Linked DNA regions of Lepisosteus oculatus. The protein of the gene in region 2 interacts with the protein of the main gene of each other region in a pairwise test. Links are inferred from orthologs where the notes say so. Each region holds a gene or a part of one and is shown on either strand. Other genes may lie near its edges. The genes, in order: slit homolog 1 protein, hoxa1a, chrd and cysteine-rich hydrophobic domain-containing protein 2.

Region 1 (7,847 bases), on a different chromosome or scaffold from region 2:
AAAGAGCTGAATAATCAATATTTTTTAGCTATTCTATATTTTATGGCCTCAGTCACCTCCCTCAGTGTCATTACTAAGTCCATTCTACAAATCAAAGCCAATGACAGTCAACAGAGTTGACGTACTGTATAGACTTACTAAACACATAAGGTACTTCCTTACGCAAAGGGTTGTGGGAGTCTGGAACAAGTTACACAGTCAAGTTGTTGAAACTGATATCTTGGTTTTCCTTCAAGAACTGGCTTGATGAAATGCTTGGGTCGATTAGCTATTAACATCCAAACAGGCAATAGGCTTAATGACCTCCTCTCGTTTGTAACGATTCGTATGTCAAAGGCAGAACTGAATAATGATCTTGTGCAGCTCCAGTCTAGTGCTCGGGGCAGAGGGAGCCGGAGCACCAAATGTCACGATCATAACCGTGGGACCAAGTACTGAAGACCGTTGGCAGATTGAATTTTTACAATTTATGTGGCTTCTTTCCAGTACTAATAATAATGCAATATGGCACATTATTTAGGCAGGCCACGGAGGTCAAATTTTAAACATTCTTTAATCAAGACAAGAGAGGAAAAAACAACAGGTTTTTGATTCTATATAACATACAAGTATCACGTGCGTATTATATATTTCTGTATTTCTACAAGATTGCTCTTCTACAAGTGAAACAATAATATAATCTGCACCCTAGATTATACAAAGAGCATTTTATTTTGGTATGGCTACAATAAGGACAAGACTTAAAATAAATCTCCCATTTGTCTAAACTGATTGTTGCTTTACAATGTAGGATATGTTTGTGAGATTACCTACATAAAACACTTTCAGATTCTTAAGGGTTTTTTAATAATGTAAATTGCATGTAATTTACTGTAATTTATACATAAGTAGATGGTTTTATTGCAGAGAATTTCGGTGCTGTAATGTAATATTACTTTAATTTTACATCCTAGTTATTGAGTGTGACAACCGTAATGTAGTCTATTTTTCCTGTGTAGTATTAACTTTTTAAAATTACCCTCTCAAAATGTTCATTATGTCGAGAATACCTGCCACATGAACACATCTATGGAGCTAGTACACAAATGCATTTGACACAGTCATATGAAAATCACCCACAATATCTCTGTTTCTAGCAATTGAAAAGGCAAGTGATTGTTTTTACAAAGATGATCATCTTGCAGGAGCCTCTAACAGAATAGTCTGGTTTAAGCAGAGTGTTTCTATTAAACTGCACTGGATCTTCTGGAACCTCAATGAAGCACAAATAATATACAGCATATACCTCTTGCTATACCAAAGACCAGACAGAACTTCATAATTCATCATTCTATCTATGTATTCTATTCCAACGATTCTATGTGTTCTATTCCTGTAACATCACACTTTTTTCTTCATACAGGATTGCTTTCAGTGATTGCAAAATGAATATTTTAAGCTCTAGACCTGTAACATGAAAAAAAGCCCCTGAGGTTCATTCATCCTGAAGTGTGTTCATGTCAGTGATTCAAATCTTTCTCTTAAGAGCGGAGTCTGGGCTCCCGTCTCGCAAGCCAGACCTAGAACACAGATTTGCGTAATTTTCTACATGATTTAACAATTTAATGTGGAGAAAATGTTTCGTGTCAGGAAGAGGGATAAATGCTGTGGAGCTGTGTAAGGCAGAACTGCATATTTCAAGAAATCTGCTTCAAAAGAGTCTAAACAGCCCTGCATTATTGTAATTTACAATCAATTTACATCATTTGCCAGACTAAGTGCTATTAATGCAGTTGCACTGTTTTGTAGCATAACTCCAGAAGACATGACCTACAATTTGTCTAAGAAAAGGATATGCATAAAGAACCTCATAGAAATTCAAAGAAAATTTGAAAATATTTTTTTTCTAAATATACAATCGGAGTGTAAAATGTACTCAAGAGATGTTTTACAATATTGACAAAAGCCGAAGTGAACCTTACTCTACATGCATTTGTCAGCGAAATGGAGACAGTGTGGAAATCAATCAGATGTGATGACAATCGAATCGACTGTATGATGCTCTAGGAGCGAAGTATACTTGACATAAGCTGTGAAAAATTACTCCCAGAGATGAACAGAGTTGCTTTTTGATGTGCGTGGTACAGGCATTGTTCACAAAGTGTGATATGAGGTGGGTTGCCCCAGTGCATTTCCATATTTTTAGCACATATGCAAATCGCACGCACATGTGTAGATGCGGGACATCTGCTTCTGTTTTTTTTTTCCAGAGCTGGGCTCTTACTACCTGGCCCTAACAGCTGGAGCATTTTGCATGACAGATAATGAAGCAGCAGCTTTCTTATGACCGGATAGCCGGATCTATTGTTCTCCTCATTTCTCCACTGAAGTCATGTACACTAGACAGACAGACAGACAATACAGTCAAGTACTCACAGCCTCTCAGTGTTCCGGGGAATATTCCTGGGCACGGCTTTGAGTCCCAGACCATGGCAATCCACAGTGGTGCCACTGCAAGTGCAGAGTGCCGGGCAAGCACTGGCACAGCCCCCCAGCAGGGCGCCCCACAGGACGACCCAAAACCCAGCTTTGGTCAGTCCTGTACCAGCCCCGCTGCAGCGTCTTCTGAAAGGCATCCCGGAGCACCAGTTCCTCTCCGCACTGCTCCAAGCCGCTATTCTAGACAAGTCTACTCCCGCCAATGTGCAGAAAAATAAACAAAACAGCAGTATAAGGTTGAGACCTTCAGGGAAACAAGTTCATTAAATGGCGTAAATATTTGCAGCGGCTCCTCCGTCTTATTCCTTTCCTTTCTTTTCTTGCTTTCCTTTCCCAACCAAGCTCTTTTCTTCTTTCTTTATGGAGATGTGTGCCCCTCTGTAGCTCTGTTGCGTGCCTACGTCCTACTCCCTTTCTCCCCAGCCTTCATCTGCTTGCCTGTAGAAATGGGAATAGGGGCAGAGCAGAGCAAATAAAAAAAGGAAAAAAGCAGTCCCTCTCTCTCTTACACACACAGCAGTCTTCCATCACAAGGAGCTACAAATAGCAGCTCCTCGACTCCTCCTACCTAACCCCCCCCCCCCACCACACCACCCTCCCCAGAACCCTGCCTGAACTCAACACTTATTCTCACAGGCTCTCATCCAGTCTCACAGCAGCCCCCACAGACAGGGAGCAGCAACCTGCACAGCACCGGCCCCGGATCTGCCTCTGGGATCCCCAGCATCACCAGGGGCAGCAGCCCTGGGATAAGCTCAGCAGAGTAGCAGGAGGCAGAGGAGCAGAAGAAAACAAAAAAAAAATCAGTTTTCCAGAGGTGACGACTTTTCACGAGAGTCTGGGCAGACCGAAGACAAAAGTGTGAGAGAAATGGAAAGGGTTCCACAGCCAGGGGGGCTGGAGATGCAGGAGCAACGCAGACGGCAGAGTCAGGCAGTTCAATCGCGATCTGCCAGTGTAAAAACTGACCAGGGCTGCAAAACCCAAGGCATGGGTTGAGGTCATGAACTGATGCGCAAAATAGAGGAGCAAACAGCCTTTTAGTGAGAATTAAACGAACGGCTGCAAGCTGAGGAGACAGAACTGCAGTTAGATATCGGTTTTGACAGATTGCTCATTCTGGCTCATGTCTTCAGAACACTCATTTTCATTTTGTTCTGCTTCTGCTGGTCTTGAGGGCGCCACCCTACTGAAAGACGGTAGCAGTGCCCTGCACATAGCCCGGATGAGCTTATAAAGAAATGGACTATGAAAACATCTGTTGGTACCCACTGTGTAAACCACGGCTTCAGTGTTAGGAGTCCAGATTCACAATTCCAGGCATTTCTGGAATACACATGAACAGTATTGATGAAAATGGCATAAATGCGTTTCTACAAAATCCCTGCTGATCTTGGGTACTGTAGCAGAAATAGCGACTGTCACTTATAAGTTTAGAATGAAATGATTTCGGAAATGAAATATAGTTGAGAGAAATGCTGATAGGACCAGACCCCCGAAAAGTGAGTTAAAATACTCTGATGAAGAGTGAAAGCAATGAGCTAAACCAACACCTGTAAAGTTGCGAATACTGTTGGCGTGCAATTGAAGCAGAAAATAAGACTACATCATGACCGATTCCAGCCAACCAACCATCTGCGAGTGTAGGGTTTGTGCAAGCTCGCGACTAGCTTTAACACTGATTTAAGTGACTCGAAGTAAATCGTTGTCATAGAAAATCAGAAGCATTAATCAAACATATCGGCTCCACATGTCTTTTCTTGCCTGATCCATCAATCACCCTAAAATAAACTGCAGTCCTATTTTAGACTGTCAAAAACTGTGACAGGGGGCCACGATCATTATGTCTCCCCACACAGGAGACAGAATTCTTAAATTAGAATGCTCAATTTTTTGTGAATTCTCAAATGTTATACTATAGGTATTGTGATTTCTAAAAAAACGTTGAAACATAATGCAGGTATGCTCACTTATAACAATGACTCAGAATGAGGATCCGATAGCTGCTGGCAACACGTTTGCCGTATTTCTTTGCTATGTTCAGAAAGGGTTGCATAGTGTTTTATCTTGCGTCTGTGAACCTTGGTCCTTTACAATGCTTAGGTTGGTTCAGGTACTCTTAACTAGCCATTGTGTTTCAACAAAAACGACGCCTGTCCAGGAAAATGTCTCAAAGAACTACAGCTAGAAGCCGACTAATACGAAATGTTTAACGCATGTGCTCCCGCCCAAAGCTATCGCGCTGTATCTTTCTACAAATGGAAATCACACAATTTAATGAAAGGAGCATCTAATAATTGTAATAATTAATGCTCCAGAGATACGAGGAAAGGAAAAATGCATACAACTGCTCGAGATAACAACAAGCTCCCATAAGGAGTTAGTTTCCTAAAACAGCTTTTACGGTGTTTTTTTTTTACGGAGAAAAGAATTCCCGACCATGAGCAAAATCCGAGTGCGTTTCTAAGTAAAAAAAAATGCAAAGGCACTGAAGACGTTGAAACGCACTAATAACACTACAAACATGTTTCAAGTTTTTTTTTTAGACAAGGCTTTGCAGAACCTGGGAATGACAAAATTATGGTCGCTCATACAAAGGTTCTGTTAATGCCTGAAAACTCATTTGCAAGAGCAAATTTAAAACATGTTCCACATGTAAAATATGTGATATATGGCATATTGTTTAAAATGGTTGAATAATAAAAACCTTAAGCACATATCACATTGATATTGAAAATGTTCTATGTGTGCGTAAAACAAATTACATAATTATTCCAGTTTCTTAATCGAATCAGAACATGCCACTTTAATGGAAATTAAGCATTGAAAGCAATAGTGAGAAGAATAAACGACTCAAAAAACAACTTGAAACAAAGGGCAAACTAAACAAAACATTGACAACTGCATACTTTTAAGCGAACATTTGTTTGAAACTTATAATGTAAAATAAGTATTTGGGGGTTCATCAACACATTCTGGGATGGTTAAAAAGATGTAATGTGCAAAAATGGCATGCAATGGGCTATTTTCAGATCTTTAATATGAAATATGTAGTTATTACGTATAAGTAAAGAGAGCATATGACCTCTAATGGGCAATTAAAGTATTACGAACATGTTATTCGCTATTGTGTTTACTTTTTAAACACCGCCACCTTGTGGATGAAATTGACAATGCTTTTACTCGGCTATGATCATGATTGAAGTTCATAAGAGCATACAACCAACAAAGCAAATTGTATTGAAATACTTTCCTTCTGACAGATGTCACATACTGATGTTCCAGAGAACAGAAAGGTGCATCCAAGAAGTCTCCTATGCTCATTATAAAAACAATTGTGGCACAATATGATTCAAATTACACAGAACAGCATTATAATTATAATAATTAATTGCTTACACTTAGTGCTTTTCTGGACACTCCACTCAAAGGGCTTTACAGGTAATGGGGACTCCCCTCCACCACCACCAATGTGCAGCATCCAGCATTCTGAGAATTGAATATTGGTTGATAACCTTATAACCTCATTCTTATTTGTTATGTTTTTTTAACATAAAAAGGTAACCAGAAAAAAAAGTTGCCTGTCATCTCAAAACCTGAAGTATTACAAATATGAATGAGTATAAAGTTACGCATCATTCTTTTGCATTTAGACAGAGGGTATAATGCTCTGGATAAAGATGGGTGAAGGAAAAAAAACTTCTAAAAACATTAAATCATTATCATTAGGTAATAAATAATAAATAATCCACCTCTCCCAATATCTCTCAAAAAAATGTCCTTCTAGAGTCTTAACTGAAAGGTTAACTTTTTCAGTTCATAAATCTCTGAAACAATCATTTTCTTGGTTTGGGGGCTCTTTGATGTGTAATAGCTTTCTTACTTGCTGCCAAGAATACTTTTAGCAAGTATTTACCTCTGCCCACATCCTCATCAGGCAGATTACCCAGACACAGAACTGAACACGACTTTGGAATTTCTAAACATGTCTTGCTAATCAGAGACAACACTTCTTGTCTTGGACATTACCAATATATGCGTTGAATGCCCTGCGTCTACTACGACTCTGTCTCCAACATGGTTGTGGCAAACCAAGCCGAGACAATTTTATTTTGGAGTTATGAAGAATCGAGTTAAATTCTTCCAGCAGAATTCCCTCCATCTTTTTGAGTTTGTGGAAGTCATAACTTCATTCTTATATCAAGATAAAGAAAACACCCCCATAATTTAAGTCTTACAATTTTAAAATTTGATATCTGAAATTCACTTCTTACCTATATATCAGTACAATTTGAAAACGTGAAAATGCTTAATTTAGCCAATTGCAGCAATTATTTAGTTTTGCTTAACTTCTTATACACTGTAAACATGCACCAGCCCTTTGCAAAAGTATGCAGATACTTTTCCAGGGTTTAAATAATGTGGGACTGATAATGAGAAAAAATGTTCAAGAGACGGGGTAAAAAGGTGTTTATTTTAAAATGATTACTAAAGCCATGTATTTTACAATGTTACAACTTATTTTACATACATTATGAACAAAAATAACTATTAGGATGACAAAATTGCTCAAGTAAAAAATAGCTTAGAAAATGCATTGCTGACAACAGCTTTCAGAAACTTGACCCAAACGTTGAAACCTAATTATTAAGGTCCTGATAACAGAGAAAAAATAAAGCATATTCTGCTGTAATAGACCCCACCAGCAAAAACAGACTAATACATATGGATGGTACACTCACTACAATCACTCATACAGCTGTTTAATACCTTGAATGACTAACGTAATATTGCTTGGTATTCTTAAAACAGAATTTTATGCGACCTGTGCTGTGCTCTATTGCACAGTTTAAGACTATTATGGCCAGGAAATATTTTGGTTGGTTAGTAAAGCATATACTACAAGATTACCTACTTATTCACGAGAAAGCAGGTTGATAGCAATCATACATTTCTGATTTTGACAAGGCTCTCCAGCTTCTATATGCCAAAGATGTGAAAAAAGCTATAAAGGTTATTATGAAATGTAAGGGGTTAATTGTTCAAGTTTTGTTTCTCATACAAAACTGATCCCACTATTTCAAACTTCACTTTAAAGTTCACCTATAGGCTCTTACAAGTTGGGCATGGCTTCAAATTAGGTTTCTATTTGTTTATTGCCTGCTTCAGAGTAGAAACAGAAAAGTGTTATCTGAACTAAGCAATGAGAATTCAGATATTTCTGACTTTGAGTTATTAAAACATGCTCAGAACATTTTGTTACTTTAGTAAGGTGTTGCCTGCCTGCTGTCTGGCACAAACCCAGTCTGCTATGTCAGAAAGCTATTACTCCAGTGAAGTGTATTCAAACACCTGCTATTTTAGTTTGA
Region 2 (6,905 bases):
TTTTATCCAATAGTTTAATGGAATTGTAGAATGACTAAGATTATAATTAAGAAAATGCTCCTCTATAGTATTCGCGCACGGTCTGTAAAAATCTAGTGCAAACAGACTACACATGCTGCCATGCTGTAGCGTGCAAAAAAAAGGCTTCTTAGGATCCGGTCAAAAAGAAAATAAGTATTTTTCTCGGTTTTGTTTTCTCCGGCCTTTAAAGTTAAACATTATGGCCCCTTCGGTGTAGCACTGCAGGCAAACTCCATGAAAAGGCTCGTTCTGGAGACTGCGGTGTTGACTTTCATGTCAGTAGCTTCTGCGACGTCAGATGAAAGGGCCCGGAGACTGGAATTCGACTGGAATTCTTTCTCTCTGCCATACAAACTCCAAAGGGAAGCTGAAAAATATTCGTCATTTTGAGGCTAATGAGAGGCTAATGAGGAGAAAACTGTTTAGCAATAAAATGCGCAGGTATGTGCAGGTAGACTATACTACCTTTATATTAAAACGAACTAAGTTATGATCCCAAATTAACTCCTAACCCTGTTGTGGGAAAAAAAAGTCATTTCTGGTTTGTTTAGAAGCAGGATAGTTTTAATACATATCATACATAGACCCGTAAACTTTACTCGATTCAAATACATTACATGTGTTGTTATAGTTTCTTCGCTTGTACAGAAATATACTTTTACAACTGATAAAACTCAGTGTTAAGGGAGGTACATCAAAGCGCTGTGCATCATGCAGACGTCGTCACGAACACAGGTGTCAAATACAACTTGGTATTCCGAGGTATTTAAAGTGTGCGACTTCACAGGCTCGGGATGAGCCCACTTTGAACATTTCAATAGTAAAACGTTTCAGTGCAATTTCGTTTTATTTCACACAAATAAACACAATTTACAATAAAGTGAGCTTGTCTTCTTTATGAGGTATCTGTTTTTCATTATCGTTTTTTCCTGTATAAAATAAAAAAAATGTAAGATCGCTCCTAAGTTGTGTCTTTCTATACCCTTAACATCTTACCGTCGTTATGTAAAAAGAGATTCTAAAAAATGGATTAAATACACATATTATAACTGCATCAAAGTAATTACATAATTGCAAATCATAAGCTGAAGAGTTTAGGCAAGATCACCCGACTGCAAACTCTCTGCATTTAGTGCATTTCTCTAGATTTGTCATCATCACCTGAAATTATGGGGAAGTTACACATGTGGTTGAAAACAGCTTGCTGACTGCAGTATGTACTGTGTCATCTGTCTTGTGTTTTAATACATATTGTTGTCATTGAAATTCCGATCATCTAAATCCCAGCACTTACTTGCTCTATATCACTAAAACAACATGATAAAATGCGGACAATGCAATCTGCCACATTCCTCCGATGAGTATGACTGGAGCTCAGAGGTGCAGCCGCATGACAGGCTGGTCTGTCAGCGCGCTGCTCAGGAGCTTCAGCTGGAGGGACACGTCTCCGCGGTGGACGCTGAGGATGAGGCTGGAGAAGGTGTCGAAGGGGCGGAAAGGGATCTTTCCGACGCGTCTTCTCTTTCTTCGCTTTCTGCTGCTGCCGACGGAGAACTCGGCAACAGACCTTCTTTCTCGCGTTTCTTTTGCTTCATCCTCCGGTTCTGGAACCAGATTTTCACCTGAGTCTCGTTGAGCTGCAGAGCTGCTGCGATCTCCACCCGCCTGGCTCGCGTGAGGTACTTGTTGAAATGAAACTCCTTCTCCAGCTCCGTCAGCTGCTTGGTGGTGAAGTTCGTTCTCACCGTGTTGGGCTGGCCGGCGAAACCGTATTCTCCAACTTTCCCTGGAAACCAAAAAAAGTGCAGAGGATGTCAGCCTGAGCATCGACATTCGTGTGAGAGAACATCACAGAGGATGTGCGCTTAATGACAAAACCGGGCGAACAGGTGGAAAACACTTTGAGGTCGACTTCCACAGGCTGGGTATAGAATAGGTGCTCCTTGAGGAAACGCACAAGGGTTACAGAATCTCGTCACATGTGCTTTTTGCATGACAACAGTACAACACAACTAAACGATACAGAAATAAACTGTTGAATTCAGTTTTCCTTAAGCGTCGCAGAAAGACACATCAACGGTCAGAAAGGTGCGCAACAGCGTGACACTCACCGGTCTTGGGCGGATTTCTTTTGACTTTCATCCAGTCAAAGGTCTGTGCTTGGGGCGATGTCTCGGCCAGAGGAGAGCAGCAGGGGTCGTGGTGAGAGGCGTGGAGAGGAGACAGGGGGTTCGTGTAGCCGGGAAGGGGCAGGTTCGCCTGCTCGTGGCCGTAAGCGCCGTGCGTGTACGGAAGTACCCCCACCGACGCTCCGGTGTAGCCCTGGTGGTGCTGCACCATGGAAGCCGAAATGTTCCCCGAGTAAACTGCTGGGGCGCACTGAGGGTACCCCGCGCTAGACTCCACGTCTTGGTTCAGTGGGTAATGATTGTAACTCGCACAGAAGCCCTGTGTGGCATACCCCGCGCCACAGCTGGGGTGACTGGGGTAGGTGAGGCTCAGGCTGCTGTGAGGCTGGTAGGCGGCCGGCTGGTGAGGGTGGTGAGGAATGCCCCCTGGCGAGCCCCTGCCCACGCCAAAGCGATCGTCAGCGCCGCAGGTATTAGTTGTGACAGAGCACGACGGGAAAGTTGTAATCCCATGGTCTGGGTGAAAAGCCCTGGAGGAGCAGGATGCGGTTTCTCCGCTGATCACAGGGTAATCTAAGAAGGAGCTCATTGTAGCATTGTCTACCTGTCACGACTGGTCAGGTCTGAAGCGATGACCGTGCTCCAGCCCGGGTGACCGTGCCAACTTGCCCAGTTCGTCCATCGGGCCAGCACAGACCGATATGAATGAGGAGCGGGGGTCACGTGACTCGTGTCCGCCAGTGGCTGCACAGCGGTGCTGAGATAGCCTTCTGCTGGCGGTGATAGATCACCGGTTTACAGACATTTAAATTCTCCACGCTCCTCTATCAAGGTGACGCACACCAGCCCGTAATGTATTGCTAGTTCAAACAATGGGCGAGACAGAGTGCAGCGGAAATCGTTCAGGACACTTCTCGAGACAATAAACAGCCCATGTTCCTGATGGATAACGTTTCTTCTTTTCTCGCTTTTCCATCCCGAAAGCACAGCTGTTTCAGCATCACTTAAGCACAAGGTAAGAAAAGCGCCATCTCTGGTTGTGAAATGTTTTCTGTTTAACTGAACGTATTATTGTAGTCAACATCAAGTCTAAGATTAAATATGTCTTTGGGGCACATTTATAAAGTGGGATTTGGAATTTAGCATGTATTTCACGTTTGCCTTCTGAGTGTTGTAGTGTGAAAAGACAAGGTGAGCTCGATTCAACATTTAGCTGGGGGTCGATGCTTGGATTGAAGTTGCTGCTCGTCAGCATTCGAGAGCCGGCAGACAGGTCGCATCCTATCAGGTGTCTGTGTGTGTTCACAGCTGTCGGCATGGAGATGAGAGCCTTCTGTAACCAAAGTCAGCGATGCTATCAGAGCGCTCTGAGCTCCGCGCATCACCTTCTCCGGCGGCTGGAGGTGAACACAGGCTGGACTACAGTCTAAACCGACACGTCTTTCATTCTACGATATAGGTCTTGGTTTCCCAAGCCTAGCCCCGGAGGCTCGCAGTCCTGCTGGCTTTCATCGCAGCACAGCCGTCAATGGTCTAATTTAGCTACTTATTGGCTTCGATGGAAGAGTTGAGCAGATTTTCTCAAGTCTGGAGGTGCCGCTGATCTCAGGAGACCTAGAAAACCTTCAGGATCGCGCCCCTTCAGGACCGGCCTGGGAAACCCCTGAAATGGGCGGAGCCTGAGAGGGGAGCTGTGACGCGGTTCATCTGCTCATATCCGCTGGGTCTGTAGAGACGAGCCAACTTTGAGAGACCAACCATTCAACTCTACAAATAAGACTTTATCCCGCCTGGTGTGCGGTTTCCCTCACAATATAGCTGACGTGACTCTCTTCATTCGTTTTTTTTTTAGCACAGCTTCCGAAACCGTTCCTCTAAATACTTAATGCTTTTTAGGACGTAATTTCTCTTAATTCGATAAAAAGTTGTAAAGGGGCTATGTCGGTCAGACAAAACCATCTAAACTGGCATACAAATGTCTAAATGGCACGAGCAACAGCTGAAGAAGAGTAATATCGAAACATGCCACCCCACAGAAGGTTTCCTATAATAGCGTAGTGGTTCCAGAATGGAATATTTTAGCCATTCACCCCTAAACTTGTTTGTGCGTCAGCATGATTAAACGTATCCATCGATTAATCGATAACGAAATTACCCGGCGTTAATTTAGTTATCCTACAATGCACATTTATTCTATTGCTGTTATCATATACCCAATATGTATATTTAGGCTTTCCCGATTACGTGGTGTTTTGTCCACCGGCCCTGTTTCCACTGCGACCTTACACAAGGCGAGACTCCGTGGTCAGCGCTGTGCAATAAGATGGCGATCTCGCTTGAATCCAGGGATTCAGGAAAGGTGGCTCTTTCACAACGCCCAGCTCTGTCTGCAGTAACTACACATTTAAGCTTTCAAATATTGCCAGATGAACGTATGTCGTTTAGTACGTGTGCACAATCTGCACTGTTTTGTGTTTTTTTTCACATACAAAAAAATAGTATACCTTATAAGATAGAACGCACAAAATGGAAAGGCATGTAAACTTACCATCACAATAAAAAAAACCCAGAAATACATTAACAGGCCTGTCCAGCTCTGTGAAGTTTCCACATCGCCCACGTCTTTAAAATGCGAATTGTTGACAGCCGGAGTTGCGAAAGAAAGGAGGTATTGTTTCAGGGGCACTCTGATACAATTCCTTTCAAAACCGTCGATTCGCCAGCGTGGGAGATAGTCCCGAAAAAGTCTTCATTCTTTAAAGGTTTCTAGATGTTTGTGTCCAGAGAAAATTTGCTTTATGGCAACATATAATTGGCAAAATGTCACGTTATTGCCTATGTGGTTTACAGTTTAATAGATTTAATAATGTTCGATCGATTCCAAATTAGAGGAAAATATCATCGTAATAACAAATTACAATCTCTGGATGAGGCATAGAATGTGGATAATAAAGAAGAATAATTTTATTGACTAAATAGAAAGGCTCACTATAGACACCCTTTTAGGAAAAACTATATAAAAATAATCTTAAATATACATATATTTTGGTGCATAAGACAAACTACGTTTATGTCGATTTGAAGTCCATTGTTAAATGTGAACATAAACTTTTAACTAAACAAATCGAAGAATATTATATATATTTTAAAAGTGCACTTAAAGAGATTGTAACACCCGCTCTGAGTTGAGCAGAGAGCATCTCGGTGCATCGGCGGCCGTTCTCAGGCCGCTCTGCTGGTTTAAATGGCAATAAAAATGAATTACTGCCGAACGCCTACAAAGTTAATGCTTTTGGCTGGGAATCCCCAGTCCCTCCAAATACGTAAGAGGTTTTTATTTGTGCATGTGCTCCTGCAATTGATCTCTTTGATGACATTCTCATTCATAAAAGAGAGTTTGATTTATGAGTTTGGGAAGAATTTCATCCAGGCCTTCCAGCCACTTCTTACGCAATTCCATCACGTTTTGCAGAGTAATACAAACTAAGCCAGGGCGCTTTCTGAGAAGCCGGGCTCTAGTCTGCATAAAGCCGCTTTTTGCACAAACTCCAGCAATACGAAGTTTGATTTCCACAGATACCAAGTGTAAGCCGTAACAATAACTCTGTGCCTGTCTTTTAAAAGGACGAAGGCTGTAAACTACAGAAGGCTACGATACAGTGCGTTTTAACTTAAACAATATTAAGATTATTCAATGTTTTATTTTAAAGTGCAAAATTACCTATGCCTGTCCAAGAGTTTTCTATTTCCGACTATGCACCGAATGCAGCATCCCGAAAGATTCCTATATGAAACTATATTTAATTCATTTAGACATTTCCCCGCTGGAAGCTCTTTCTAGTTGTTCGTGTTCAGCTACTGCCTGAGCTCACCCGGCAGAATCCCATTCCACCACGTCCTGCGAGATTGAAACTCGGTGAAACGGTCTTTTGCACTAACTGCGCTTTTAAAGTTTTTGTTGTTATGAAAGAAAAAGAACATGCCTGTAAAACTTTGAAATTGCTGTTTGTTTTAGTAAATACTTTTTATCTTATTTTAGGTTCGGGAACGAAGAATAGTTTTGGGTTTCAAGAGAGAGACACAATGGAAAACATTATATTATTATTATTATTATTATTATTATTATTATTATTATTATTATTATTATTATTATTATTATTGGTGATGGTAATAATAAGTAGTTTTAGGAATTACACCCAAATATTATCCTGTACAGATTATACAAATTATATTTTTGAAAACGAATTTGAAAATTTGACTCATAAATTTAATTTTAAAAAGTTAATTGCTGATACATTTAAATGTATACTTTACTGTTATTTTTCTAAAATACGTTTAACATTGTACCTTTCTTTATGTTCATTTTTGATTTGTTGTGGAATAATAAAATATTCTGACCTTCCATTTTGTTCAATCTCGTGTTGTTTGAGAGGCGGGTAATATAAAAATACATTTTAATTTTCATTTGGACCTGGAAATAATGCAGTGACACAATTATTGAAAGCTACCTGTAGCAAGTAAAATTTATTCTAACAAAATATTCATGACAATGTACCCGAAAGCGATACAAAAATAAAAGAACAGAGACTAAATTCTATTTTTTTTTACAGAACCAATGTATTGCTTTTGGAGAATTAATGTTTAAATGGTTAATTGTAATTATTGCCAGACTAAACTTTTACAAAAATTAGAGCGTGGACTTTTATCTTCTGTACTGAATTAACTAATTCATTCATTAATAAACAAAATGTACTG
Region 3 (7,259 bases), on a different chromosome or scaffold from region 2:
GGAAAACAGTATACAGCTTCAGTTAAAACTGCTTGAACACTACGCCGCTGTGCTTACTGGTTCGCAGTAGCAGATAACGCAGTGCATCACCCCGAAGGGCTCCCCCAGATCCGGATGCCAAGTGTCCTCCAGCTCATAGAACCGCCCTCCGAACGAACAGCCTGAAACGAAACAAGAGCGAATCAGAGAGCAGGATCGAGGCGCCCTCAGTTACTGAGAAGTTCCTCCTGAGCCCGTCGGAACACTGGAATCCGGGACGATTTATCACAGCAGGGGAGATGTGAAGGAGGCCTGGAAAGGAATCCGTAATGGGAGAACGTGCACTATACAGAGACCACGAAGTTGTAGCTGGGTTAATGGGGTACACGCTTTAAGCAAGACACCTTTCACATGTTATCTAAACATTTCAACTGACACAGGCCAGCCTCTTTCGTAGTCTGGTCTTTGTTGAGAAGTGCTTTTCCAAACCCAACACTAGTCGTATAGTCTTTGCAACAACAGCGTTCCTTTATTTTGACGAACAGAAAACTACTTCTGAGTGCCCTCTGTGTATTTAAATTGACCTGCGCTTTTTTGTTTGTTCGTCTATCATCACTATGAGCTACAGTGTATTTCCATGTACGCAGCATCGGCTGTTATTTTCCGTACCTGGAACTGACGGCAGGTGTAATGTTGAAAGACTGACCTGCCCTCGGAAGAAAAGGGGCCGACGTATAACACGCGATCTACCGACCTCCCTGTATCGAGGCATCAAGTGCAACACGGAAATCCTTAGGGCACAGCGGGCCAATGGAAGGAGGCTGCAGCCGTGCTTTGCGATCTTTCCCCATAAATACAAACCGTGTTAACAATGCTGGACCAAAGCGTAAGACTAGTGGTGCAAATTCGTAGATTGGCGTCAGACTGAATGACGAAGAATTTGGCTTGTATCGGCGGATGCGTCGCAGACAACGCAAGGCCTGGATTCATTTTAGTGAATTATTATTTTTTTCAAGTTAAGGACTAAGTCTCAGAGACACCCTAATGCTCAAAGGTTTCTTCAACGTTTCTGATAAATCTCAGCTTTGTAGTAGACGACTGTCCAGGGAAATGATAAGGGACTCAGAAAACTAATAATAGCTACATGAAGGAATCTTCCTATAGAATTCAGTGTTTTATGGGGCCTCGGGGCATTGAGTTGTCTGTGTGCAATTTTCCCGAATTTCCTGGATGCATGTTTTTTCTCGGTAGGAAAAAAAACGGAAAACAGAACAGCAACTGCAGAACAAGACAGTGTGGTTAGCAAAGCGAAGCCAGGGGTGCCGGACCCAGCTGACACGGGTCACGCCGGCGGTCTCGCCTTTCCAGCCCGCCGGGCTTCAGCTGGCACCACTCGCAGCGCGCGGGCTCCGGGTTTGCCGCCGAGGCTCGGGGTTCACAACTGTTGACGCGAATATTATGCGGTTGCCGTAGCTGCTAACAAGCTGGTTCCCATTATTCTTTCATTAAGTGCCTACTTCAAACGGTCAAGTCGAGTCAGACGGAGGCTGAAGACAATATTCCTGCTACAAACATTTGAAATAAATCACTGCTTGGCAGCGCTGCAGCCCCGTGACTCCTGAAGGAATCATAGTGACTGTAATGGAAATTCTATTGATTAAGGTTTCCAGGATCAAGGAAGGTTTCTAAATGTTGACTAATACACCGCATAGCACCGTTACCAGTTTTGGTTGGCTTTGTAACGTTATTTAGTCATGTTTTAATGATAGAAAATGTACAGTATAATGTGAAATAACTGTAAGACTTTGTTGACTGTTGCTGATTCTAATGATAAGGATGAGGATGACAATACGAAGAAGAGAACACGGGAGCTACAATTAATTATTTTCTCATTAATGTAGACCTGGAATCCATCAGAGCTTAAATAAGATACGATTGTACTATTGCTTTATGCCTTAATACAAAGGACAAACTTCAAACACGTAATGTAAATGATAAACACTTGAAGGAAAATACTAGTATCCCCGAAGCACTAACACATAGAGTTTGAACTGTTATCTTTGGCGTCTAAAAACAAGCAACAGTTCCCCCACCTCAAGCAATGGTTTGTAAATCTTTCCCACATCATCCCCAACTCCCTCTCTCACTTTAAAGAGTATCGAGTGGTTTACAACTACACGTTTAAACAAAACGGACATACTGTCTTCTTTGGCAGTGCTAGATGAGATCTAGAAAAAAACACGCAGCTTATATCAAAATAAATATTTGGACTCGCAGAACAATTCAACATGAATAGTAACTGAAACCCTTTGTGAATGCGGTTTCCATTTTGAATACATGGAATTTGGAATAAACAGCTTTCGAACAGTATTTCCTGTTTTCCAGATTTAGTGATTACATCTAAAGAAAAACAGTGGGATTCTGGCCTACGATGTCTGGGCTCAAAGGTGATGAATGCTGCATGAACATTGCGGTTACGGAGGACAGGAGACACGATACCTGCGATGCCTTTTGAAGGTAGAGGTTCCCTCTCCGATTGGATGGGCAGCGCAGGGGACTTGAGTCGGGAAGCGCGTGCGGATTCCAGCCACGCGCAGCTCAGGAGACACAGGACAACGACCGACCAGCAAGTTCGCATCCCTGCGGCTACAGCTGCATGCAGAGGTGACCCGGGTAAAACCATTCAGCAGAAGGTCCGTTTAAGCAAGACGCAGTGTGGAGGTCGACGAGTGGAGTTGATCCTACTTACACCATGCAAAAAGAAATTAATAAGTAGAGAAAAAAAAATCCCAGTCTCGGGTTACCTTACTCTGTTCAAAAACCCTGTTAGCGAGGTGCTGGAATAAAACGTCCAGAAAGCGCTTATTTTGCAGACGGAATTTAAGATCAACAGTGGAAGCAAAACCAGAACCTATCCAGACAAATATCAAAAAATGAAAGAAAAACGATGTTAGAAACGAAGCCGCAGACTAGACTGGTATTGTGGGCGGATCGTGTGTGCCTGGTTGCTGAAACCTGCCTCTGAAGAGTCAGTGAGGGTGTCTTTCCGTTTTATACCGTCCTGACCGCCTAACTCCACAAAATCAACACAAGTGCCCACAACTGGGGGGGCTGGGGGAGTTAGGCGGGGGGGTGGCGAAGAGAGAGAGAGAGAGCCGGTGTGTGTGAGTGTGTGAGAGTCTGGGGGTGATGGACCTCCCGAAACCAAGCGCAGAAGGGACTCTGACCTCACCCCGTACCACGAGAGAAGTGTCGGCAATTCACGGGGTGAATCGAGTCCCGGAGTACCCACGGGGCCATACCTTACACTGAGCACCCCTTCCAAATAAAGAACTTTTAAAACGCATTTTTTCTCAGAGTACGTAATTATTTTCAGCGTCTTTTCATTATCCCGTTCACCCTTGCGAGAGGCGGTCTGCTTTCTGCAGACAGAAACTTGATTGCTCAATAAATGCAAACTGTGTTGCAACGGCCCTTATTAATAAATACGTAACGTTATTCCTATGGTGATCACGATTATCGTTGCTTTGATGGACGCCCCTTCCACCACATCCCATTAATTTATAGTGCAAGAACACAGACCGGGAATTTCAACGTATCTTTTTATTTGTCTTTGAGTTATGGCACCTATCGGTCTGAACAGACAATCCGGGAAGAACTTCCACGCCAACACGTGTGCTTAGCGCCTGGCTTTCTACCAGAAGCCGCTTCGACATCCTGCGGTTCAAGTTCATATAAACTGCGCGACGTGATTTATTTTCGCAGGAAGTTTGGGCCGGGGGGGACTTGACTGATCGCTCTTGGAAGGTTCAGCTGCGATCTCACTTTCTCATCATTACTATCACCATAGTCACTTTTTGTGTTAGGTGCTCGCTTCTTGTCAAGCTCTTCATCAACCGTTCACCGCGAAATGTCACTTTTCAGCAAGACTGAACCTGTTTTCTGCCTTGCATTCCGTTCTTTGGTGACACTGTCCGTTTTCCAATTCAAACCACACCAAAGAATAATAAAGAATAAAGAAAAAATGACGTGAAATGTGTTCCCGGATTTGGAATTGCGCTGAGTGAGCATGTATGTAATATATCATCGGGTCCGGTGCCTCCCGAGCAGGGCAGACTCATAAACGCCGGATATTCATTAATTCCTTCGCCATCCCAATGCAAAACACCCAGAGCGGTTTGCTCAATAAAGATAAGGCACCACAAACAGACAGAGGGCTCTCCGGTTCCGGTATGCTTGTCCTTTACAAGCTAGAGCCGCGAAAAGCGCAGAAGAAACTCTGCTCAGCTGTCGTTTGGAGCCGACACCTTTCCCTTAAACACATATCTCACAATCGCACCACAGGAATGACCAGTGCTCCTTACCATTTTAACATTTTTACAGTTAATTTTCATATTTGTTATGATGGTGTTCTTGCGTCTTCAGTTTTTCAATCAACTTACTCTTACCATTAGTAATTAATAATAGAGTAATAGCTACAGCTAATCATGTTTCAACAGCTATCTGTTGACTTTTATTACGGGGGACACTTTAATGGTTTAAAAGCACAATATAAATGCAACTAAGGTTTATGGAATAAAAAAGAAACAGAAGGATGTAACGTTTGGAACTTGTCAGTGTTAGTGATTGGGAAGTTCGTGCGGGCGACAGCATTAATCACTTTGTTCCTATGTGAAGACCAGGTGTTATTTTAAGGAAAGATCCGCTCGAGAACAGCTGAGACGAGCTTATCAAATTTAACATTGAATTCAGCTATCTGCACAAAGCAGAACATTCACACAAACGTGATTGGGTACTTGGATACTTCGAGCTTGTGTATAGAACTCCTTTGGTTTGGTTATTGACCTGTCTGAAGGTCAAGACGCAAACGGCAGCTTGTCTGCAATTTGAAATGACAAAGCGCCATTTACATTGAAAACAAAGACGTTTGCGCCTGTAAGGTTGAAAGTGATATTTTCATAGCTCTAGATAGGCAATATTTGTATGTATGTATATCCTGTATGTAAAGTAATTTAGATAAATATGAGCACAGGCTATTGTTAATTTGCTCGTTCGTGTGATTGTTAAGTGTCAGTTTTTACGCATGTGCCCATACAGTGCGTTAAGTTGTCACCGAGAAAATTTGCACCTGTGCGTCATTTGTGTCACGTTGGGAAGTGAATAGCATCGATGATAGTTTGTTTGCATTTAATCATTAAGTGATAACTATTGGTTTCATTTAATACATTAGGGAAGCCATTCATTAGGTGTTTTCCATTCATGGAAAACAAATCGCCTTTTGAAGATAATGCAAAGATTTAAATAACGCAAGTCGCACATAATACAATGAGCCGAAATGTGTATTCTTCCTTTTCATGACTGAAATGCAGACAGAAGCTGAATAGTTCGAAAATGCTTCAAAACCAGGAGGCTTTATACATCTTATTAAATCACCAACTTCTAAAGATTTGGAACATTTTCGCTTTTATCGATTAAGCGAGTGATTTGTTAAATAATTTAATAAAATCGAATGAATTTGACCAAATTTCAGTTTCCATGGTCTATATTCCTCTTAACTGAACAGATTACGTGGTTAACAGATCAACACCTTACAGGTGCCCCCATTCTGCAATTTCCCTCTATCTTATTTTGAAAAGGTTTGGAGACTATGTATATCTTAGAGTTAGGACGGTGTTTTGTACTTCAGCGGTGCAATAAATTGTATGGCGGAAGTTGATCGTGTTGCTGTGGATTTGAATTATTCTTTGTTCGGAGCGTGTATCACATAGAACATTCTTGCGCACTCAGAATGCAATTAGTCAGTATACCACGGAATGTGGAAGGTTTTCTGTTAGGATGTGTGGATGGCGGTAGCGTGTGAAGGTTCTTGGATATAGCTGATGGTGTCAGCACTCAGAGGAGAACAAGGATTGCAGGACAGGATGCCAGTTACTCAGATCACACGATCTGAAATACTGCGGGGGTTTAACAATAATTTCCTTACGCCTCTAGTGCAACAGAAAGAGTGTTTTAAATTAAGCAGAAACAAAATGCGATTGAAGTCATTTTTAATGTGCCAAAACATTACATTCTCGTAAAATCGATTATCTGTGACCAGTTTTGGGCGTTGGAGATGCGTTAAGATAAGGCCGCACACCTTTTAAAGAATGTAAATTTAAACAAGATACATTTGTAACTTTTAATTGTTAATGTCTGCGCAGATTTATGAGGTTCATAGCAAAGGATTTGGCCTCCTTCGGGGAATTAGTTGACTGGCTGTGTTTTTCGCTTTTCACAGATGTTTCCAAAGCACTGAACTAAACCCATAAATATAAAATAAGTACCCAACAAAATGAGATGTATTTTCTGAGAGAAATTTTGAAGGCAAATTATTTGATGGTTTTAATAAACTGTTGTCAAGCGGACCAACAATACAGGACCTAATAAGTTCCAGACACTTGAATGCTAGCGGACTACTTCAGCGAAGCGTGTTTTAATTGCTTGTTGAAAAAATATCACAGGTCTCGGGACATCTCTTTGCAATTCCTTTTAGGCCTATTTTTCTAGAATTATTTCATGGTTTCAGAGTTTTAACTAGACCATTGCTGTATAAATCACTGACTCGAGTTAGTATGTAGACAGGGCGCAGTGAAAATCCCTACATTGCCTATAAAATGAAACGAGGCGTAAGGAAGTTCGGTGTCTGAGGTTCTGTAAAGGCTAGTGGTGGGTTTCGTTGTGTTTTCGCCCTAGTCTGGCAGGTAGATCCTGTTTATTGGCGTGTCTGTGCCGGAGGTGCAAACGAAGAGCCCGAGAAGATAGCGGGGGTACGGAGGATCTTGCTGGCTGGGGTTAAGGTTCAGCACCTAAGAGAGTCTGCAGACCTGGATGTGATGCGGAACAAATATCTAACAGTCCGTAGCAGGATCACCGTGCTGATCAGAGCAAAAAAACAACAACAACTGATATATGCAGTTGTGGGGTGGTCTTCCATTGTAAAAGATCACCTGCACAAGTATACATTTTAGGTTTATCGGATGTAGTTAATACAATTCAATATGGACTAGTTCTATTTAAGCGTGAATTAAATTCGCGGGAAATAGGCTGAACAACCCACCAGATGAGCTATGCCCCGTAAATGCACCCTCAATACATCTCAGTAGAGAAACTACAATAACACAATACCAAGGAACTTTGTACTCTTCAGGTGTTCTTTAGCTCTTCGTATTCCTTACACTGTGCGCCACGCGTCTCTAGTCTGGCAAGACAGGAGGAACATCTCTGTGTTCAGACGGACACAA
Region 4 (8,006 bases), on a different chromosome or scaffold from region 2:
CATTAGTAACATTTCAATTATAACTCTAAAAAGCGGTCAGATTAACACAGTGAGGCCTTGAAATTACATTTAGATATGAGAAAAACACTGCTTGATTGATCACATTTATAAATATTGCCGTCTAGCACTTGGCAGTAGCCGCACACAGCAACACACTCGAGTGTTACAAGCGCGAAGACCTCAGCTACCGTGATGCGTAGCCGGACTAAGCTACCGTGGGCATATTTCAGCATTTTGCAATCGTTGTGATACCTATTTATTCTCAATGTTGGCGATACCGTGAAGAAATCCATTAATATCTTGTTGAAAGACCATCATTAAGCTGTATGGACGCCTTTTTCAAAGTTGCATTGTGGTAAGTCAACCCGTGGAACATCTTGGCTAATATAGTCGCGTGATTTCTCTTTTATTAGTTACTAGGCAACTGATCATGAATACCAAAAACTGAAAAGAAACACTCGGGTCTTCAAAATAGTCTTCAATGGTAACAGAAATGAACAATGATCCAGGGGACAACATAATACCACAGGAGTGACATTTCAGGAACAATTATCTCTTTAAACAGAATACCAGCTGTAATGCCCACTCTGTTTTCCTTGTTCTGAGAAAATAAATTCGCTTTATAGCATCAATGAAAACAAAGTTTGTGTCACAATTTATGCAGTGGACTAAACTTGTTTAATCTACATTATCAATACATTATTTCATTTTTTTCATAAAAAACAAGACAAACATACACTATATTTTCCAGAATGTTAAATGTTATAACAGGTTTTGAGAACTTGACTTCAGAGTTCAAGATCGTTTCATTCAGGTTGTTTACCTTGTAAAACTTTCAGCTGAGTGTGTTGGTCACTTCTTTCCAGAATCTATTATTTGAATGGACTTATTCTGCATGTGCTCATGTTTTTGCTGATGGTTCTCCTTCATTAGGAGAGAGATGAAGCCTTTTCAAGAGATCCTTATTTTCAGATGGTATTAACATGCTCTTATAAGGAAACACAAAAGTGTATCCAAAGCTTTTTAACTGAATTTTCTTTACCACTTTTTAAAATTTGAATAACAAGTGTCCAAGGTACCAACAAACTGCAATTGGCCAGGAAAGGCAAACTATCTTGACAAACCCATATCATAGAAGTGATAGTAAATCTGGCCAAGATTTCACTGTATTTGGCTTCCGGGTTGTGATACTGTGGAAAGTGATGTTCTTGCTACATTTTTGTCTCTCACCTCCAGAGAATTGGGATTGGGCCCTGATGTACATCCTTTCTAGGCTTTTGGGAACTTTATTCACCAGCTGGCAGAGCTCAGAAAACACTTTGAGAAAATTATATTGGTCATTTGGCCAGCAATGGACTGGCGTCCCATCCAGAGTGTATCCCGCCTTGTGCTTCTTGCTTGCCAGGGAAGGCTCCAGTGGCCCTGTGACTCTGTATTGGTTGAAGTGGTTAAAAAATGGATAGATGGATGGAAATAGAATAAAACATGGAGAAGGGGAATTCCTAACAGATATGATTTCAATATGTATGAAAATACTTTGAATCTAAAAGGCTAAAGCTTTACTTACAGGATGGCCACACCATCAGGGGGTGACGCAGATCACTCTTAAGGTGACCAGCAGTAGTTTTTAGCTCTATAAACCCTTACAGACCCTGCAGTTCCAGAGGGAACTTGGTCGGTTAGTCTTGGCCTTTTCATCTTTTTTTAAACCACTCATGTAGTGCTGTAGACGAGAGCAAGCACATACAGTACAGTCATGTTTATTTCATAGCAGTGTAGAGTCACACAGTTTGCAGTAATCTTATATTTTCACAAAAAAAAGCTAAGTACTGTATATGCCTACCCAGGGACACATCGGTCTTTAAAAATTCTTCTGAGTTGTATCTATTATACTATACTAATACTATATATTATACTATTATACTAATGGTACTATTTCCATTGTTCCATTGTTACATATGGCAATAAAGTTCAAGTTCAAGTTATTATACCTATAGCATCCTGAGCTTCTTAAATTGTACAATGTTGGAAATCAGGATTTCTAACCAAACAAATGGAAATGATTTCATGTTTACAACAATGTCACTGAAACAGGTGAAAATATATCTAATAAAACCATATCCTATAGTAAACTATATCCTATCCTGTGACAGCTGCACAAAAATAAAGTACTGAAATTATACATTAACTTTCATGTACATGTATGTTGAGCAACACTAAAATTATTCCATTGTGAAACGGATTCTTGTTACCAAGATATTAATAAAACGTAATTTTATTGGCATTACAATAAAGCAGTTTCCACATGCGAATGAAAATCAGACAAATTCAGTAGGAAAGTATGACAAATAATTTAATATGAACAAAGCAACTGAATAGTCCCCATTGTTCGAATTGGAAAGTGACTGAAACAAAGGCTAATGGGAATCTATCTGCAGAGGATTAGAAGGGTTTAGTTGAAAAGCTGGACTCCAGTGTTTCTAGAAAGAGGTATTCACTGTGCAAATGTGTTTTGAATTTGTAGTTCAATTATGAAAAGGCAGAAGTCAGAAAGAAGTATCAATCGACTTGATGGTGTGACCCTCAAAAGCTCCCCAAAAGTTTGCTTCATTAGGCAAGATGGATAGTCACTGTCTTACGGCGATCCAAGCACAAATTACTTATTAAAGCTCTTTCCAAATACCCAGTTATATGTTTCCATAAGACTAAGCAAACATTTATTAGTAAATGAGAGTGAGTAACGGGGAAGAATACAACAGCCCTTAGACCAATTTCCTTGCTTGACTTACTGATCCGAAGTGCTGAAAATCTGTCTTAATTTCAATGGGAAGATAATGCAGACACACTCTCGGTGACACTGCATTGTGGTTCCTTATTCCCGATGCTCCAGAGTCAGTGCCTTGGCTGCAGGAATCTGTCCCCCTGGCTCTGCTCCCCAGGAGGCCAGACTCAGGTGCCACACCTCTCCCTGGGAGCCCCCCTCTGACCTGCCTTCTTCCTTCCTGTGTGCCAGAGGGACGTCATTAAGAAACTGTTGCACAGACCTTCTGCATTGAAGAAATATTTCTTTGTGTGCTGGTCCATTCCAAGGTGTTGAACTGATCCCCGAGGATCATTCAGTGAAATTTCAGGATGGAATCTAGTTAGAAATGACAGCCAGAAGTCTGTATGATGTTTCTTATGTTCTTAATTACAAATTTATGAACATGTACCTATCAAGAACTGAACAAAAAGGAAACCCCTTTCAAAATTTCTCTTAAGACCGTATATGTGGTACTTCCAGACATTTTAACTGTTAATTTAACATTTAAACGTGTGTATGTATACAAGCATCACATGCCTGTGGGATTTGAAGGCATTATACTAGCTAGGCAGACTAGCGAGCCTCTTCACCCTCTGTAAAACACAAAGGTGCAGTACATTCCATTCCATCTCTTCCACCACTGGCAAATTCCACATATAACAAACAGTAATTTTGGGATATAGAATGTAGTTTATGGTTTTGTTTTATTGTACAAAGTGGTCCTAATCATTTATATTTCTTCAGATGACAAACAATTGTGTTGAAGCACAATGTTGTTGTATAGCTGATCATGGTATAAAACTTATTCACACAGATTTATGAATTCAGTATTTTGCTTTTATCACTAATTAATACATTAAAGCTGAGCTCCTTGTCTGTGTATGGCAGTACGACATAACAGAGGGCTCTGGTTTTGCTAAACAGGTTTATGTATTCATGTCACATTACAGTCCTCCTTCTCTCCTATTTATTACATGCCTGGAATACTTTCTGCTGTATCCCAGTTCACGTGAGCCGGAGGGCGTTGTGATGAGAGTATGCTGTCCAATGTGTATGGCTGCTACTATGCCTGTGCTGCACGGCAGCTCAGAGACATCACCCCCTTGGGGGCTGCAGTATTCTCGAGTGTTCAGGGGAAAGAGGAAGGGCGTGATCACTCACCGAGACATCACCGCTGTTTCACCAGTAGTCCAGCAGCTCTTGTACATCATCATTAAATCGCCGGTCTCTAAAGATGCACCTGTTAAATGAAGTAACTTGGCGGTTTGGGACCCAACTCTGGGCACGTCTGCCCTCCAGGTCAAGCACCAGAGCTCTGTTCCTCGGAAAGACGGACCTGGGTCCGAGAGGGGGGGACCGGTGGCCCCTTCACTGCTGCCCCCCAGGAGGGCAGCTGCAGCAGCACCAGCAGCACCGGGTGACGGGACGCAGAGGCACAGCCCCAGGACATGCATGAAGACCTGAGAGCAACTCAGAGCAGACTGTGAGAATAAAATATAAAACAAATTCTGGTGTTTTGGTTTCCAGGCGTGAGTGTCGTATTCTTATAAAAAAATGAGCTACCTCTGTTCTTGGTGATTTTTACACCCGATTATGCAGGAAACATACGTTTCTGCTGGGAGCTCTTGTGAGCCATAGACCTCCCTGTATATATGATATATATTGCATTGATGTTTATGTACAAAATTTATTTGACCATCATGTTTCCCTTATTTTGTGATGATTTGCTTTAGTATTTTTTTATATTTCTAAATCATTAGTAAAAATCAATAAAAAATGTAGATATTTGCGCTGCAACTCCCACGTGTGTAATTGGACTGAAGATGAACAGACGGATGATTTAATTGGTGACGAGTGCTTAAAGAGATCAGAGCCTCGCAACGACGTTAACACGACCTATATAAAGGTAAACACGAAGCTTCATCAGTCTGAGTGGGACTCGAGGTTTCTCGCTTAGTGTGCTGTAGAGGGGCATGACTGTGGTGACTGATCTTGTTCCCTCTGGTGCTTGTGATCTTCCTGAATTGCTGAAGTGGGCGGCTTTCTTAGACTCCAGACACCCCCACGCAGAAACACCCTCCTGCCCACGACCCCCTGCTCTGGATGCCGCAGGTGAGAGGGGGGCAGTCTTGCCGAGTGCAGGACTGGCCGGCCCCCACGCCAAGGCGTGCGTCGTCCACGGTCTCAGGTCACCCCGTGAGCGTGTGTGCGCTTCAGTCTGCAAGCGGAGCCGCGCAGCGCTGAGCGCGTGACCCCGGCACCTGCGCACTCCTCCCGCGAGCTCCGCTCCGCTCTCGCGCCGCGTGACGCAACCTCTCGCGAGGCGGCGGATGTTGTTGTTTTGCTCTCGAGCTGTGAGGCTGCGCCTTCGCCGCTCGCCGGGTAGTTTGTTCGGGGTGTCAGTTTCTCGGGGGGCTGCTGGTATCGGGGGGTCGCTCTGCCACCGTGTGCGCTTCTCTCGGGCCAGCGCAGCGCCGGGGGGGCCCAGGCGAGCGGGCGATGATGGCGGACTTTGACGAGATCTACGAGGAGGAGGAGGACGAGGAGCGGGCCGCGGAGGAGCAGCTGCTCAAGTACTCGCCGGACCCGGTGGTGGTGCGCGGATCCGGCCACGTCACTGTGTGAGCAGCGGGCGAGGGGCGCTCTGGGGTGCCGCGGGGGTCTGGCCGCGGTGTGTCCTCTCCGCTGCGATGCCGGCGGGTCTCGGGCGCAGGAGAGGCGTGCCGGAGGCGGTCCGGCCGAGCGGCAGAGGCCGGGGCTCCGGTGTGGGTAGGCCCTGTGCGGGGTCGAGTGCGAGAAGCGCGTCGGTGGGGGTGGACCAGGCTCACGGTCTTCTAGTGCGCCGCCGCGGCGTGGGGAGCCTCTGCCCGCCGGGCCCGGGTCCCCCCAGTCCGGGAGCCCACAGCGCCTCTTGCCAAGACGCCCCGTTTGGCAGCTGCAGCCGGGCAGTCGGGCTTCAGCGTGTTGTGTGCTCTGGGGAGGGGTGATGCGCAGGCAGGAAGCCGCGGTGCCTGAGGTTTTGTTTGGAAGTGTTTTCGTCCTTCGTGTTACAGTCCTGCCGTGGTCCAAGCCCGGGTGCCTTTTTTCCAGCAAGTGTAGTTTGTGCACCACAGTTCTGCCGGTAGTTTGCATGTCCGCAGAGGTGAAGGTTGGCGGATTCATGTAAGGATTCAGATGTAAAGATCTTGATAAAAGCTGCTGTTTCCTAGTAAAGGGAAGATGAAAATGTTAACGGTGACTTAGCTAACTCAAGAATCTGTGAAAGTATGATACGAGAAGGAAAAATATAGCAGCTGTAGTATTTTACCTTTTCAACTGACTTCTCCCGAATTTTTCTTTTGGTTGAATGCCTGTGCTGTTCCAGACACTAGGGGTTGTGGGTTAAGCATACATTATGCTTTTAACCATGGCAGAAGTTTTTATTAAGTGGGAATATGTGCTGAAGCAGCAGTAAAGAGCAAATAATGAATTAGTCCTTCCTGATTAGAAGATAGTTTACTAAAAAAATAACCTGTTTATTTTCTTTTATAGTTATTACATCATGTTCACATGGGTGTGAGTGCATCTGTGTATCTGTCTACTGTAAATAAGCACACACTGGTGGTCAAAGCTGCGAGAAATATGGAAACAAAGAAAGATCAGAATAAATGTCAGTTTTCATTTATAAGCTTTTTAATATAAAAACTCAGTCTGCCAAAAATGCTTATAAAAACAATCTCCTTTTGTTGGCAACCACAGCCACACAGTGTTCTTTAGCACAGTGCGTTTGTTTTAACCCTCACAGATCTTTCCGAATCCTCTCAGATCAAACATTTTTCCACTCTTGCCCATCAAACCTGTCCCATAATGTCTCGGTGGAATTGGGGAGGTCGTGGGAGCTGCAGTCAGAGTTCTAGACTTGTGGCTGGAAGGATGCGGGTTCGAGCCTCCTGGCGAAGCACTGCTGTTGTCCCCTTGAGCAAGGTGCTCCAGCTGAACTGCTTGATGCAGCTTCGCCCCAGGAGCAGGTTCACGCCGAATACCCAGCTATGCAAGAGGGTGCAAATGGGCGCTAAACACATCAGCCAAAGGCAGCCCAGGAACAGTAATGTTATTTTCCACGTATGAACTTGAGATCAGTTACATGTAGAGTTGACCCACCTGACCTGTGTGATGTGGTTGTGATCTAGGAGCAGCGCTGTTCTCTGCATTTGCACTTGTACATCCTGGTTCAGGCTTCATAGCTGGTCCTGGCAAGCTCTTCTGGCTGACTTTGTCAGGACCTGTACTGTTTGTGAATGTGAATCAAGACCCTTGTGGTCTCTGTTCAGAACTGAATGGTTTTTTAGTTTTCAAGTGTGGTGCAGTGGATATTCTGTTAGGCGAATTGAAACTTTGAAATAAGCTTGGCTTTCTTCTCGCCCAAAATAAGTTGTATTAATGAAGTGGTTATAATAATAGGAAACATTATTGGGAGGCATGTTTAGTACTTCCTGAGTGACAAGATGTTTGTACAGCAGTTTTAGACAGACAGTTTGTAAATACGACCCTGAGCATGAAGGTGTTGTGTTGAAGGCTTGATAGTACCTGCTCTTTGAATGTGAATTAGCTGTTTACTCTTTTCTAGCAGTGTAACAAAATACATTGTTTCTAAAGAAAGGAATATTAACTGGTAAATTGGTTAAAAAGTGGAATTTGTGACAGAAGATCCAGGAGAGGTGCACAGCCCTGGTGCTGTACAGGGGAGCTAGTTTAGAAGGGTCATTTTTTAGCTAGAAGTATTACTGGTAATTGTGCTTTAATTAATTTCAGAATTAGTGTTCTTAAAATAAGACCTCCAGAGAATTGGATAGTAAGCTTGGTTTGAACAGAATAATCCTACCAATCTGCAGATTTGATTCTGTTGAAATAACTAGCCAAATTGTTTTACTGCATTGCTTGATCCATATAGCCTACAGGAACATGGCCCTCTCTTTGCATTAAGAAAATACAGCTCTGAAAGCTTGTGTGTTCTGAAACTTTTGTTTTTGCTTATTTTGAGCTGTTTTCCTAATCAACACCAATGGCTTGTCCTTCCATTACTTAAATTTAAAAGTTTAGGTTTCATAAAAGCATTCAATTGCTTTGATTAGACGAGGCTCTGAAAGTCCAATAATTGCGATGAACGGGACTTGTGATGATATGCTTTTTTCCGCAAGAGTTTTCACATTTAACGTTGATTGTC

The links.
Region 1: the proteins of hoxa1a (region 2) and slit homolog 1 protein interact in binary tests that used the Homo sapiens proteins (3 or more experiments, as listed by UniProt). The link is inferred for Lepisosteus oculatus from reciprocal best matches to the Homo sapiens genes HOXA1 and SLIT1.
Region 3: the proteins of hoxa1a (region 2) and chrd interact in binary tests that used the Homo sapiens proteins (3 or more experiments, as listed by UniProt). The link is inferred for Lepisosteus oculatus from reciprocal best matches to the Homo sapiens genes HOXA1 and CHRD.
Region 4: the proteins of hoxa1a (region 2) and cysteine-rich hydrophobic domain-containing protein 2 interact in binary tests that used the Homo sapiens proteins (3 or more experiments, as listed by UniProt). The two-hybrid records come from large-scale screens. The link is inferred for Lepisosteus oculatus from reciprocal best matches to the Homo sapiens genes HOXA1 and CHIC2.

Annotation. Positions count from the first base shown.
Region 1 is NC_090699.1:44,405,586-44,413,432, forward strand, and holds the start of slit homolog 1 protein, read right to left. Parts: upstream 3,001-7,847; 5' UTR 2,616-3,000; coding exon 2,416-2,615; intron 1-2,415. UniProt on the Homo sapiens protein: Thought to act as molecular guidance cue in cellular migration, and function appears to be mediated by interaction with roundabout homolog receptors.
Region 2 is NC_090705.1:603,476-610,380, reverse strand, and holds hoxa1a (homeobox protein Hox-A1a), read right to left. Parts: upstream 2,846-6,905; 5' UTR 2,740-2,845; coding exon 2,133-2,739; intron 1,808-2,132; coding exon 1,449-1,807; 3' UTR 517-1,448; downstream 1-516. UniProt on the Homo sapiens protein: Sequence-specific transcription factor. Regulates multiple developmental processes including brainstem, inner and outer ear, abducens nerve and cardiovascular development and morphogenesis as well as cognition and behavior.
Region 3 is NC_090708.1:18,749,293-18,756,551, forward strand, and holds the start of chrd (chordin), read right to left. Parts: upstream 3,010-7,259; 5' UTR 2,663-3,009; coding exon 2,479-2,662; intron 162-2,478; coding exon 58-161; intron 1-57. UniProt on the Homo sapiens protein: Dorsalizing factor. Key developmental protein that dorsalizes early vertebrate embryonic tissues by binding to ventralizing TGF-beta family bone morphogenetic proteins (BMPs) and sequestering them in latent complexes.
Region 4 is NC_090696.1:78,484,699-78,492,704, reverse strand, and holds the start of cysteine-rich hydrophobic domain-containing protein 2, read left to right. Parts: upstream 1-4,988; 5' UTR 4,989-5,302; coding exon 5,303-5,424; intron 5,425-8,006.